Canis lupus familiaris: one gene and its partners. The protein of the gene in region 2 interacts with the protein of the main gene of each other region in a biochemical or structural test. Links are inferred from orthologs where the notes say so. Each region holds a gene or a part of one and is shown on either strand. Other genes may lie near its edges. The genes, in order: HDAC6, CTTN and ACTR3.

Region 1 (4,098 bases), on a different chromosome or scaffold from region 2:
CATCCTGGATCAGTTGTTCCTTGATGGCATGGAGCCGCTCAGGGCCCTCAGGAAAGCTGGGTTGACAAGACATACAGTTACACACCCACACACACACAGACTCTCTCTTCCCCCTCTAAAATGCAATCTTCCCAGAGGCAGGGGTTCTGTTTGTTTTGTCTACCACGGCATCCCTAGCTCCTCAGGAGATGGCAGACATGTATTCGAGAATGAAATCTTTTGCCATCATGAGTCTTCTGTTGGGAGAGGGGACATACACACATAAGTGTGATAAATGAGCAAACAATGATATAGACTAGGAAGGCCTCCAACAGCAGGTGTGGGGGAAGGGGAGCAGACAAAGACCTCTTGGAGCAAGTCTCCTTGAGATGGGAATGTTAACTGGGTGAGGAGGAGGTGGAAATGAGTTTCTGGAAGAGGGGGCCAGCCAGGGTAAAGACCCGAGCTGACAGAGTGCCTGGCGATGCTGGAGGAACAGCAGGGGGACCAGTGTGGGTGAAATGAAGCTACGCGAGTGACTGGCTGATGAGGTCACTGAAGTGGTGTGGAGCCAGATCACGTGGTATGTTATAGGCCAGAATGAAGAATCTGGACTTTACCTTGAGGGCAATGGTATACCCTTGAAGGATTCTAAAAAAGAGAACAGGACTCTAACTAATGTAATGCAGTATGTCAACTATACTTCAGTTAAAAAGTAATTAAAAAGAGAGAGACAACATCATCTCACACGTATTTTGGTTTTCTTTGGCTGCCATGTGGAGAACAGACAGCAGGGTGAGGGTGAAAGCAGGCAGCCAAGGAGAAGGCCTCGGCCAAGTCTAGGTAAGTGATGGTGGTGGTGGCAGTGGAGGTGGTAAGGAGAGGTCAGGTACTGAATACATTTCCAACACAGAGCCAAAAGAATTACAACATGTGTGAGCAAATGGGAGGTATAAATTCTTGCATTTCTGCATGAAATATCCTTTCTTCAAGGAAGCCTTCTGCGAACCCCGGAATGCTAGTCTAGGGTCCTCTATCAAACACTCTTGAATCCCCTAGTCTGGGGTTATCCTTCGTTAAATACTTCACACTGCTGTTGGCTGTTTAATGATTTGCTCTCCTACTCAACTAACAGCTCCTAGAGAAGGGGCCCTGTCTGTCTGGTCTGACATGTCTGTATCACCAACTCCTGGAACACAGTGCATACTCAGGAGGTGTTGGCCAAATGAAAAGAATCTTTTCAAGCCTAAGCCTCCCCACTTGAAATCATCTGCTGCCAGTCTCCAGGCTAGCATAAGAATGGCTTCGTTCTTGCTAATGGGCTCTAAGGGCATTTATTTTTGTGGTTAGGGTACCGTCTGGAGGAGCCAGCCTCACCTGTCATCCCAGAGGCAGTGGAATTCATTTAGTTGCTCATCAAACACCAAGCCAGTGCCACAAAGTGTCTTGGCCTCAAGGTTCAGATCCTGCAGGGAGAAAAAAAGGGGAGAAACCGATCCACTTTGGGCCCGAGTCAGAAGGAACACACACTGTCCAGGAGGGAGAACCACAGGATTCTGATTGTCACAGGAAGCTAAATCCATTGAGCCCAGGCCACTCTCACCAGCCCTTGCAGGCCCACGATTAGGTCTTGCTCTGCTGCTTGGCTGAGCTTCTTCATTCTGCCTTTCTTCTTTACCTCTGCTAGACTAGGGCTGGAGTGGCGTAAGGCACCCTTCTTAACACCTCGCTTCTGCCAAACAGAGAGAAGGGTCAGATTCCAGGGCACGGCCTACTGCTCCTCCCCCCCATCAGGCAGGTTTGGGGCCTCACCGAGGTGACGCTGGAGTCGTGGGGGGGCGAATGGGGGTTATGCCTACTCCTTCGCTGCCTGGTTGTGGTGGAATCCTGGCCGGTGGAGGTCATGGTCGGGGAGACTTCACCCCTGATGCGGCTCTGGGGGGTGGGGTGGCGGTGACTACGAACAGGCTGGAGTGCCCTGAGGGCCTCCCAGACCCCGCCCCCTATACAGTCTCCATCCCTTCTGCTATCCTACTCCCCACCGCCTTCTAAACTCCACCCCTTTCAAGGCCTTCTCCTTCCACTGGGGTGTCCATTCCACCTGGTCCCGCCCATCCCAGTAGGCTCCACCCCCTTAACACTATTCTTTCCCCTTTAAAAGTCTTGCCCTTTCGCGGAGCAATAAGTCCCCAGGCTCAGTCCGTCCTAGCGCCGGCCCTTTCCAGCTAATCACCGCCCTTTCCGCTCCCCCAAATCACATTCCCAGACTCTTTCATTCCTCCAAGCCTCGCCAAGACCCCACCCCTTCACAAATCTGCCCCTTCCAGCTAATCTCCCAGAATAATCACCCACCCTTTCACTCAGCCAGACCCAGACCCCGCTCCGGCCCCGACTCCACCCTTAACGATCCACTTAACTCCACCCCTTATCAGGCTGGACCGACACCTTCCACTTGGCCAGATCCCGCCCCTAACGTTTCAACGAGCCTCGCTCCTCGGGGAACTGCCCCTTTCCTTCCACCAGATCCCACCCCCTGCTCAAACCCTACCCTCAAGCTCCAGCAAATCCCTTCAGCCAGTTTCAGGCCGCCTCCCACCAGTCCCCTCCCCCTTCCGACCCCACAGCCGACGCCGACCAATCCCTTCGGCTCCACTCACTGAGCGCAGCCCTTTTTTCAAACTCCGCCCAGGGCTCCCGCCGCCAAATTCCTGGCGACCTGCGGGACGGCGGGTGCTTGAGGCCCTCTTTTCCATTGGGCCGGTCTCTCTACTGCCCGCCCCGATCCGCCTACACTGTGTGTCGGTGCTCAGGGCCGCGCCCTTCAGGCGGGCCATACTTCCCGCGAGCTCACAAACGCCGTGGGTACGTCAGCGCGCGACGCTGGCTGTGCTGCGCCTGCGTGAAGCGTGCCCCCGCGGTTCGAGGTGGCGCTCAGGCTCTAGCCCGCCCCTCCCCCAACCACCGCCGCTGCCGTCCTGGCTCCCGTGGCCGCTGTCTCTCGATCCTTGTCCGGTCACCTTAGGAGTCCTCCGGACCCGCGCCAGTTGTCCTGTACGATGACTCAAGAGAGCAAACAAGCAAGCGAGGGAATTAGGAAGGGGCGGTTTCTTTTCTCCCGGTGGCTTCCTGCGCGGCGCGCTGTGATGACGTAGCGCGGGCGGGCCGGCGGCAGGGCCCCGGAGCGCGGTGGATATTGGAGGATGGCTGGTGGTGGCCAGAATGGGAGTGGTGACGATGTTAAATGCTGTGAGGCTTTTCCGAGTTAATATTCACTAAGGTGGCCCACAGGAAGCACTCACTAAATGTTAGCTGCTGCTATTCTGCTGGGAATATGGTTGGTAGGATGGAAGGAGGTTTACTGAGTGCAGTCGTGATGATAGCAAGTAATATGTGACAGGCACTGTCGTAAGCCACAATTCTGTGAGGTAGTTCCTATTATTAAGGCTGCTTTGGAGATAAGGAAACTGAGGTTACACGACTTAGCCATGTGACCCTTAGCAAGTTGCTGAACATCTATGTGCTTCGGTTTCTTCATCTGGCAAATTGTGATAATAGTGCCCGGGGCTTGAATAGACTCATGGAGAGTTTTTCTTGGATGGCAGTTCTCCCTCCAGCCCTCTCCATTGGGTAACCTCTGCCCCCAAGCTGTAGGGAAAGCGTGTGCCTGGGAAGTAGGGGGAGTTGCACCCGTGTGCCCCTCCAACTCCCTCACACCCCTTGTCTAGATGTCTAAATATCAGCTCCGCAGGAGGCCGGTTTGTCCTCCTAATCTCCCTCTCTCATTCTTCACCATTTCCTACCGGGCTGTAGGCTGGGGCTGAAGAGATAAGCGGTCTGGGGTTCAGCATGCTGACTAACAAATAGATTGACAGCCCCACCACCCAGTAGCCTGGCCCTATGACCCTTTAGAAAACCCCAGTTCCACCCTTCTCTTTCACTCTTTTGCTACCAGAACATGGTTTTGTTTTGTTTGGTTTTATTTTTTGTCCCAGTGGAAGAGGATCAAGTCCTAAGACCTTTAAACCTCCACATGCACCAAAGAAAACATGATACACACTGAGGAACATTCTGGGGTTGTAGTGCCCTCAGAACAGTAGAGTAGGGAGCACCCGGTAAGAC
Region 2 (3,650 bases):
TTCCTTTTTTTGGTAACTACAGTCTGCTGTAGGCTTTGAATACCAGGGGAAGACCGAGAAGCACGCCTCACAGAGAGGTAAGCTGTGCTGCAGACAGGAGGGCAGCCCTGCCCCGCTGCGCCGGGCCAGAGAGAACACTGTCATCAGAGGCGGTTTCCTGGGGAGGACCATATCACTATGGGGCTCCCCAGGCTGTGGCAGAGGCTGCCTTTTCTTCCTCTGAGCATCGTTGTACCAGGAGAGTCCACTCTCGGGTTCGGCTGGCAACAAGCTCACTTTCCCCCCAGCCTTGGAAACCAGAGCCTGAGATCACTGTTGCTTTACTGTGCGTGTGGTCCTCACATGGTGCTGGCTAACCTTCAAGTCGTGACAGTCTTTTAAAGCCTTTTTTTTTCTTTCTTTCTTTCTTTCTTTTTTTTTTTTTTTTAAATGGAAGCATGTTATTTTTTCAAAGTGCTTGGTGTACTTTTTGTGAGCTGGTTTACGCCTGTGTCTTGCGTATCATCGGATGCCCTGGGGGTGGGCGCTCTGTCCATCTGGCCTGGCATGGACCTCTCTAGTCCCTTCGGCAAGGGGTTTGAGCTGCACAACTTGCTTTATTTGGACAGTTAATTTCTGCAGTGGGACCACAGCTTCTTGTGCCATTGTGAGAGGCTCCCCTCTTGGGGTTGCAAGGGATTGCGCTCTGAATGGAGTCTGGGTTCACTCCTGCATGACCATGGGGGGACTTTTAAACTGTGCGCTTGATCTCTTGCTGTGTCCTGACTCCAAAATGTTTTTGTCTTGCTCAGTCGAAGAACCGAGGTGACAGTTGAGCCTGTCATCGAGCTTCTTTACTGACTGCCGCCCTGTCTCCTCAGACTACTCAAGTGGGTTCGGTGGCAAGTATGGCGTGCAGGCTGACCGGGTGGACAAGAGTGCCGTGGGCTTCGACTACCAGGGCAAGACGGAAAAGCACGAGTCACAGAAAGGTCAGGCCACTGGGAGCACCACTTCTCCCTGTGTGGGGCCTGCCTCCTCCCTGCTGCGCACTCACAGGTCCACACCAGGGATTTCTCTCCCCATGCCAGCTGGCTTGTGTGGCATTTCTGCTGTTTTTGTTTTGTTTTGTTTTTTTAACATTTTATTTATTTATTCATGAGAGAGAGAGGCAGAGACACGGGCAGAGGGAGAAGAAGCAGGCTCCTCACTGGGAGCCCAATGGAGGAGTCGATCCCAGGACCCCAGGATCATGACCTGGGCTATTAATCCACCCAAGCGTCCCTTCTGCAGTCTTTTTAACTGAAATTGTCAGAGGGCTCTTGTTCTGTTCAGGTCAGCATACATCTGCCTTTTCTGTCCCCATCTTGCAAGGAGGCTGTCAACATTTAACCATTCCTCTTTGGAATGTGAAATTTTGGTTATTTGCAATCTTTGAAGCTAAAAATCAACTACAGTGAATATTCTTGTTCCCTGAGTCTCATAGATTTTTAAAAAATGATTTTTTAGAAGAGTAAATTTCCAGAAGTAGAACTGTTAGGTCAAAGGACGTTGAGTTTGAAATTTTGGTGGCTACTGCAGATTGTCCTCACCAGCTGTGCTGATTTTTCCCTCCATCATTGGAAACCCTGCCTGGCGAGGGATGTCTCCATGAAGGGTTTATAGATGTGGTCCCCTCTTGCAGTGGCCCTGGATTGTTGGTTCTTCTGCATTATTTGTTTCATATGGGCTTCACGTTTAAATATTTTTTTTTTTAAATACCTCTACACCCAACATGGGGCTTGAGCTTACAACCCTGAGATCCGCTGACTGAGCCAACCAAGCGCCCTTGTGCGTTTACATTTTTAAAAATAGTTGCCAACATATAAAAACAGAATTCACATCTTGTTTAAAAACCCAGATTTCTTTAAAAGACAAATATAGGGATGCCTGGGTGGCTCAGTGGTTGAGTGTCTGTCTTCGGCTTAGGTCATGATCCTTGGGTCCCGGGATCAAGTCCCACAGTGGGCTCCCTGCAGGGAGCCTGCTTCTTCATCTGCCTATGTCTCTGTCTCTCTGTCTGTCGTGAATAAATAAGTAAATCTTTAAAAATACATAAATAAAAGACAAAAATGAAAATGCCCATTGGAAACACCATGGGCGTGTCAGTTGCCTGGGAAGTGGCAGTGAGGCCTTTGGGGCAGCTGACTTGGCTGTGGGTGTCACTTCCTGTCATACCTGGCCTGCCCACCCACCCTGAGGCCACAGTCCTGGCACACAGTGTGCCCCACAGGGTCTCTTTAGACTCTGCCTCTTCTACTTGGAGCAAACTTGTGCTCCTCTGCCCAGTATGGTACGCACGGTGCTCATCCGGGCCTGCACTTAGATCCTGCACACTGCTATTCAGATTTTCTCCTGGACATGCCATTGAGGAGGAATGAAAACCGTTTCTGAGAAGTCAGAGAGCAGAAGCCAAAGGGCATGGGGCAGACAGGGTTTCTCTGCAGCCTTGGGCCTTCCCCCAAAGGGTTTGATCTTTGTGGTCTGCTCTGGGAATGTGGCCCTGGTAGAGCCATGCTTTAGTATGGAGATATGTCGGTGACTTAGCTCTGGGTGGAAGTGATGGTTTCTGGAAGATGCTCCACATCTGTCCTCTTTCTTTGAGGGTACTCCCAGCACACCTCTGCGGCTTTTGTTTATGAAGCAGAGTGACCTTTTATGTATTTATTTATATTTTTTAAAGCTTTATTTAAGGACATAGCAAGAGAGAGCACAAGCAGGGGCAGAGGCAGTGGGAGAGGGAGAAGCAGACTCTGCTGAGTAGGGAGCCCTGATGTGGGGCTCGATCCTAGGACCCTGAGATTATGACTTGAGCCAAGGGCAGACACTTAACCGACTGAGCCACACAAGTGCCCATAGTGTGACCTTTTAAAAGCTTGCCTCTATGGCTCTGGTGGCTCCTCTCAGTCCCAGAAGCTTTATTTATTTTTATTTTATTATTTTTTAAAGATTTGATGTATTTATTTATGAGAGACAGGCAGAGGGAGAAGCAGGCTTCCTGTGGGAAGCCTGATGTGAGACTCGATCTCAGGACCCTGGGATCACCCCCTGAGCGGAAGGCAGACAGTTAACCACTGAGTCACCCAGATGCCCCTCCCAAAAGCTTTATAACATGCTTGTTTTGTGATCTCTTTTGGAATGAAGGAAAGATAGTACAGTTGTGAAAATCTGCTGCACTTGCTATTCTTCGTGTTTTTGTTGCTACACACACAATAACACTCTGGAGCGCTCTGTATTAGTGTGATCTTACAGTGTACCTGAAAGAGTTTTGGCCTGTGTGTTTTGTTTTTAACTGGGTGATAAGGGATCCCTGGGTGGCGCAGCGGTTTGGCGCCTGCCTTTGGCCCAGGGCGCGATCCTGGAGACCCGGGATCGAGTCCCGCATCGGGCTCCCGGTGCATGGAGCCTGCTTCTCCCTCTGCCTCTGTCTCTGCGCCTCTCTCTCTCTCTGTGACTATCATAAATAAATAAAAGTTAAAAAAAAAAAAAAAAAAAAAAAAAAAAACTGGGTGATAAAAGTACTTTCTCAAAGAATCCACGGCCTGCTCACTGGTTTTGTTGCTGGTGTGTAAACAGTACTTTTCTTGTTTGCAGATTACTCGAAGGGTTTTGGTGGCAAGTACGGCATTGAC
Region 3 (3,650 bases), on a different chromosome or scaffold from region 2:
ATTTTTAAATAAGATAATTTATGTCAAATATTTTATTTAAAAATCTTAAACTTAGAGGTACAAAAATAGACATATAGACCAAAGAGAAACTATATAAAGAATTCAAACAGATGTATTGCATATATGGAAACAATATAGTTATTCACACAAAAAAAGAAATGGAATCCCTATGTTACCCCATTAAACACTGATAAAAGGAATAAAAGACTTGGTCAAATCATCTTATAAAAGGGTAATGACAGATCCCCAGGGAGAAATACCAATGGTGTTTGCTAGTGGCAGAGTTCTCATCTATGAAAGGTTTTTTAGCAGGATGTACCTAGTCTGTTTACAACTAAAGTAAATAAGCTAAGATTCTACAAATTTATGCCATGGCTTTTTGGAAAATGTTATTTAAGTTATATAACTGTTAAGAGTATTAACATGGAGATATTTACACAGTTCTCTTCAGTTCACATACATCATTTAGAAACCTGCAGATTAAGTCTGGGCCAGAATACATTCTAATGAGGCAAGAGAACACTGAGCTGAAACAGTACTTACAATCCCACACTTCATGTTTCACCTATGCCTCATGATTAGTTAAACCATTTAAATTATTAAACCATGAAACAGGGCAAGACTTCTGATTCTTATGAATCAGATTTGACAATCTTTTTTGTTATCTCAAATATTTAAACTGAAAGGCAAACCTTTTAAACTTTAGAAAATATAAAAGAATAATGTTTTTGACCTTGAGGTAAGAATGATTCCTTAAATTTTAAGGGCACAAATTACAGAAAGAAACATGGATAACACTTGAATATATTGCCAATTAAAACATTTTTTGTTAATTTAAAAAATACTATAAAGTTTTAAAGACAATGGTCAACTTAGAGTAGACTCTGTATGTACGTAAAACCTTTTTAAAAAAAAAAGATTTTATTTATTCACTCATGAGAGACACAGAGAGAGAGGGGGAGAAGGAAAAGCAGGCTACACGCAGGGAGCCTGATGTGGGACTCAATCCCGGGACCGTGGGATCATGCCCTAAGCCAAAAGCAGATGCTCAACCGCTGAGCCACCTAGGCATCTCCATAAAACCTTTTAATAGCTAAACTACCTGATGTGTTTAAACTTATTTGAAAGAGTTTTGGAACTATGTTCAAAGCTTTGGAGATAACTTAGTGATAGGTACATATAAGATAAAAGCAAACTGAAAAAGCCAAGCCAGTTAAATTATAAACTCCAAGAAAAACAGAAGCTCTATATAAAATAAAATATAATCAGAAACCCTCCCAATAAAGAAAAAGAAACCCTCCCAATGAAAATATACAAAAAGCTAATAAGCACATGAAAAAGTGCTCAACATCATTAGTCATCAGGAAAATGCAAATTAAAACCAAAATGAAAAATCTTACACACCCACCAGAATGGCTAAAATTAAAAAGACTGACACACCAATGTTGGATAGAACATAGAGCAACCAGATTGCTAACACATTGTTGGTGGGTGTGCAAAAAGGTACAACCCCTTGGAAAAAGTTCTGAATGTTACCTATAAAACCAACCACACACCTATCCTATAATAGAGTAATTTGATATCCAGGTACTTATACAAGACAAATCAAAGTATGTCCACAAAAAGATTTAAGAATGTTTGTAGTAACCAAAATATTCTTAATAGTCAAAAACTGGAAACAGTCCAGGTAATCACCAACAAGAAAATGGATAGTGAGGCATATTCATACCATAGAATTTGACCCAGCAAATTACTGGTATATGAAACAATGTGGATGAGTCTCAAAGATTACGCTGAATGAAGTCTTACCAAAGAGCACATCTTGTATAATTTCATTTATATAAATTTCAAATATAAGCAAAACCAATCTACGCTGGAAAAAATCAGAACAGTGGTTGCCTCTAGCACATAGGAGCAGGAATTAATCAGGAAAGGACATCAGAAAACTTTCTAGGCTGATAGTAATGTTCTCTATCTTTTTTTTTTTTTTTAGATATTTTTGTTTATTTTTTTAATTTATTTTTTATTGGTGTTACTGTTCTCTATCTTGACAAGAGTTTTGTTTACACAAATGTATGCATCTGTTAAAATCAGGAGATGGCAAACAACATCATGCATCCTGTAAGACAAATCCATCTCATCACTTGTTTTTGTAGATACAATTTTATTGGAACACACTGAAGTACTGTCTAAGGCAGCTTTTCCTGTTACAATAGCAGAGCTCAATAGCTGCAACAGAGACCATATGGCATTCAAAGCCAAAAATATTTGCTATCTGGTCCTTCAGAGAAAGTTTGCCAATGCCTGCTCAATACTCATAGAATGCTAGCGTTAAGATTTGTACATTTTATAGCATGTGAATTTGTGAACTTTATATACATAAAAGAACTATAAATAATGAACTCTAGTTGGTGATATGCATGCTAGTGTACTTAGGGGTGAAATTACCCCATCTGCAACTCATTCTGAAGTAATTAAAAATATAAAATGGAGTGATGGATGGATAACCTGCTAGACGTCATAAAGTAATTATAATAAAATTAATATTTGCATCTAGGTTATGTATATGTGGGTATCTACCATAAAGTTCTTTCAACTTTATGTTTATGGTCTATAAACAATATTCACGAATTACAGTAAAATAAAATCAATGGAATATTGATTCCATGTCTATTCTATAGGGAGGGGGGAAGATAGGGATTCTATGTTGAGAAGGAGGATAAAAGGAACAAAATATCCTCACCTTTCCTACTAGAAAGCATTAGTGTCTAATATTTAAATAAATAAGAAATAGAAAACATGTTTAAATTTATGAGATAATGATCATAAAAAGCTCTTTAAAAATTTAAAGTGTTTGTCTCTAGAGACTATGAATCAAAGGCTGGGAAAGGTGAGAAAGCAGAGTGCTATTTTTTTGTTTTAAATCTTACAGCATTGGATTTTTGTAAACTATATATTGTATTTCTGTTGCCAAGAATTACCAATAAAATAAATAATCAGATGAGTTATTTAAAAAAGCAAAGAGCCATATTCCCAAATATTTTTTGAACCTTACTGTTCCTATCATAAAGATTACATATTAATTATGAAAAGAACTTTCTAAGTGCCTAAACCTTGGTGCTTCAATGTATCGTAACTATTGGAACCCAGAAGTGGATGATCTTAAAGACAATACAGCATTATAATGAAGTCTTTTAGACACAGAACAATTTAATAAACAACAAAGTATGCCCTAGTGAGTATAAATGTGATGAAAACATTCTCATTATGTTTTTTTCAAAAACGTCCTTGGTGAAATTATAATTTGTACTTACCAAAAGAAAATAATGATCTTCTGGTTCTGCCCTTAAATATTTAAAGATCACTTGTTCCATAAACCTTTCCATCAAGTCCCAATCTTCAACTATACCATGGCGAATTGGCCACTATCAAAACAAAACACAAATGAGATCTTAATATCAAAAGTAAATAAAACTACCAAAAAAGGAGAATATTAAACCAGGACAGCATTTTTCATGTGTGATTTAATGATGTAGATTATCCTTAGGAGACGCATACTTTACTATTTAGAGATCAATTAAATTATTCCAACAACATTTTCAGATGATTCAATTAAAATACATAATGTAAATGTTAAGAGAATCATCAGA

Evidence for each region.
Region 1: the proteins of CTTN (region 2) and HDAC6 form a complex in vitro, tested with the Homo sapiens proteins (3 studies listed by BioGRID and IntAct, with this or other methods). The link is inferred for Canis lupus familiaris from reciprocal best matches to the Homo sapiens genes CTTN and HDAC6.
Region 3: the proteins of CTTN (region 2) and ACTR3 form a complex in vitro, tested with the Homo sapiens proteins (3 studies listed by BioGRID). The link is inferred for Canis lupus familiaris from reciprocal best matches to the Homo sapiens genes CTTN and ACTR3.

What each region holds. Positions count from the first base shown.
Region 1 is NC_049260.1:42,208,171-42,212,268, reverse strand, and holds the start of HDAC6 (histone deacetylase 6), read right to left. Parts: upstream 2,831-4,098; 5' UTR 2,814-2,830; coding exon 2,637-2,813; intron 2,547-2,636; exon of another isoform or gene 2,528-2,546; intron 2,472-2,527; exon of another isoform or gene 2,332-2,471; intron 1,915-2,331; coding exon 1,792-1,914; intron 1,712-1,791; coding exon 1,583-1,711; intron 1,446-1,582; coding exon 1,357-1,445; intron 57-1,356; coding exon 1-56.
Region 2 is NC_049239.1:48,400,441-48,404,090, reverse strand, and holds part of CTTN (src substrate cortactin), read left to right. Parts: intron 1-22; coding exon 23-77; intron 78-860; coding exon 861-971; intron 972-3,612; coding exon 3,613-3,650.
Region 3 is NC_049240.1:36,584,874-36,588,523, forward strand, and holds part of ACTR3 (actin-related protein 3), read right to left. Parts: intron 3,426-3,650; coding exon 3,315-3,425; intron 1-3,314. UniProt on the Homo sapiens protein: ATP-binding component of the Arp2/3 complex, a multiprotein complex that mediates actin polymerization upon stimulation by nucleation-promoting factor (NPF).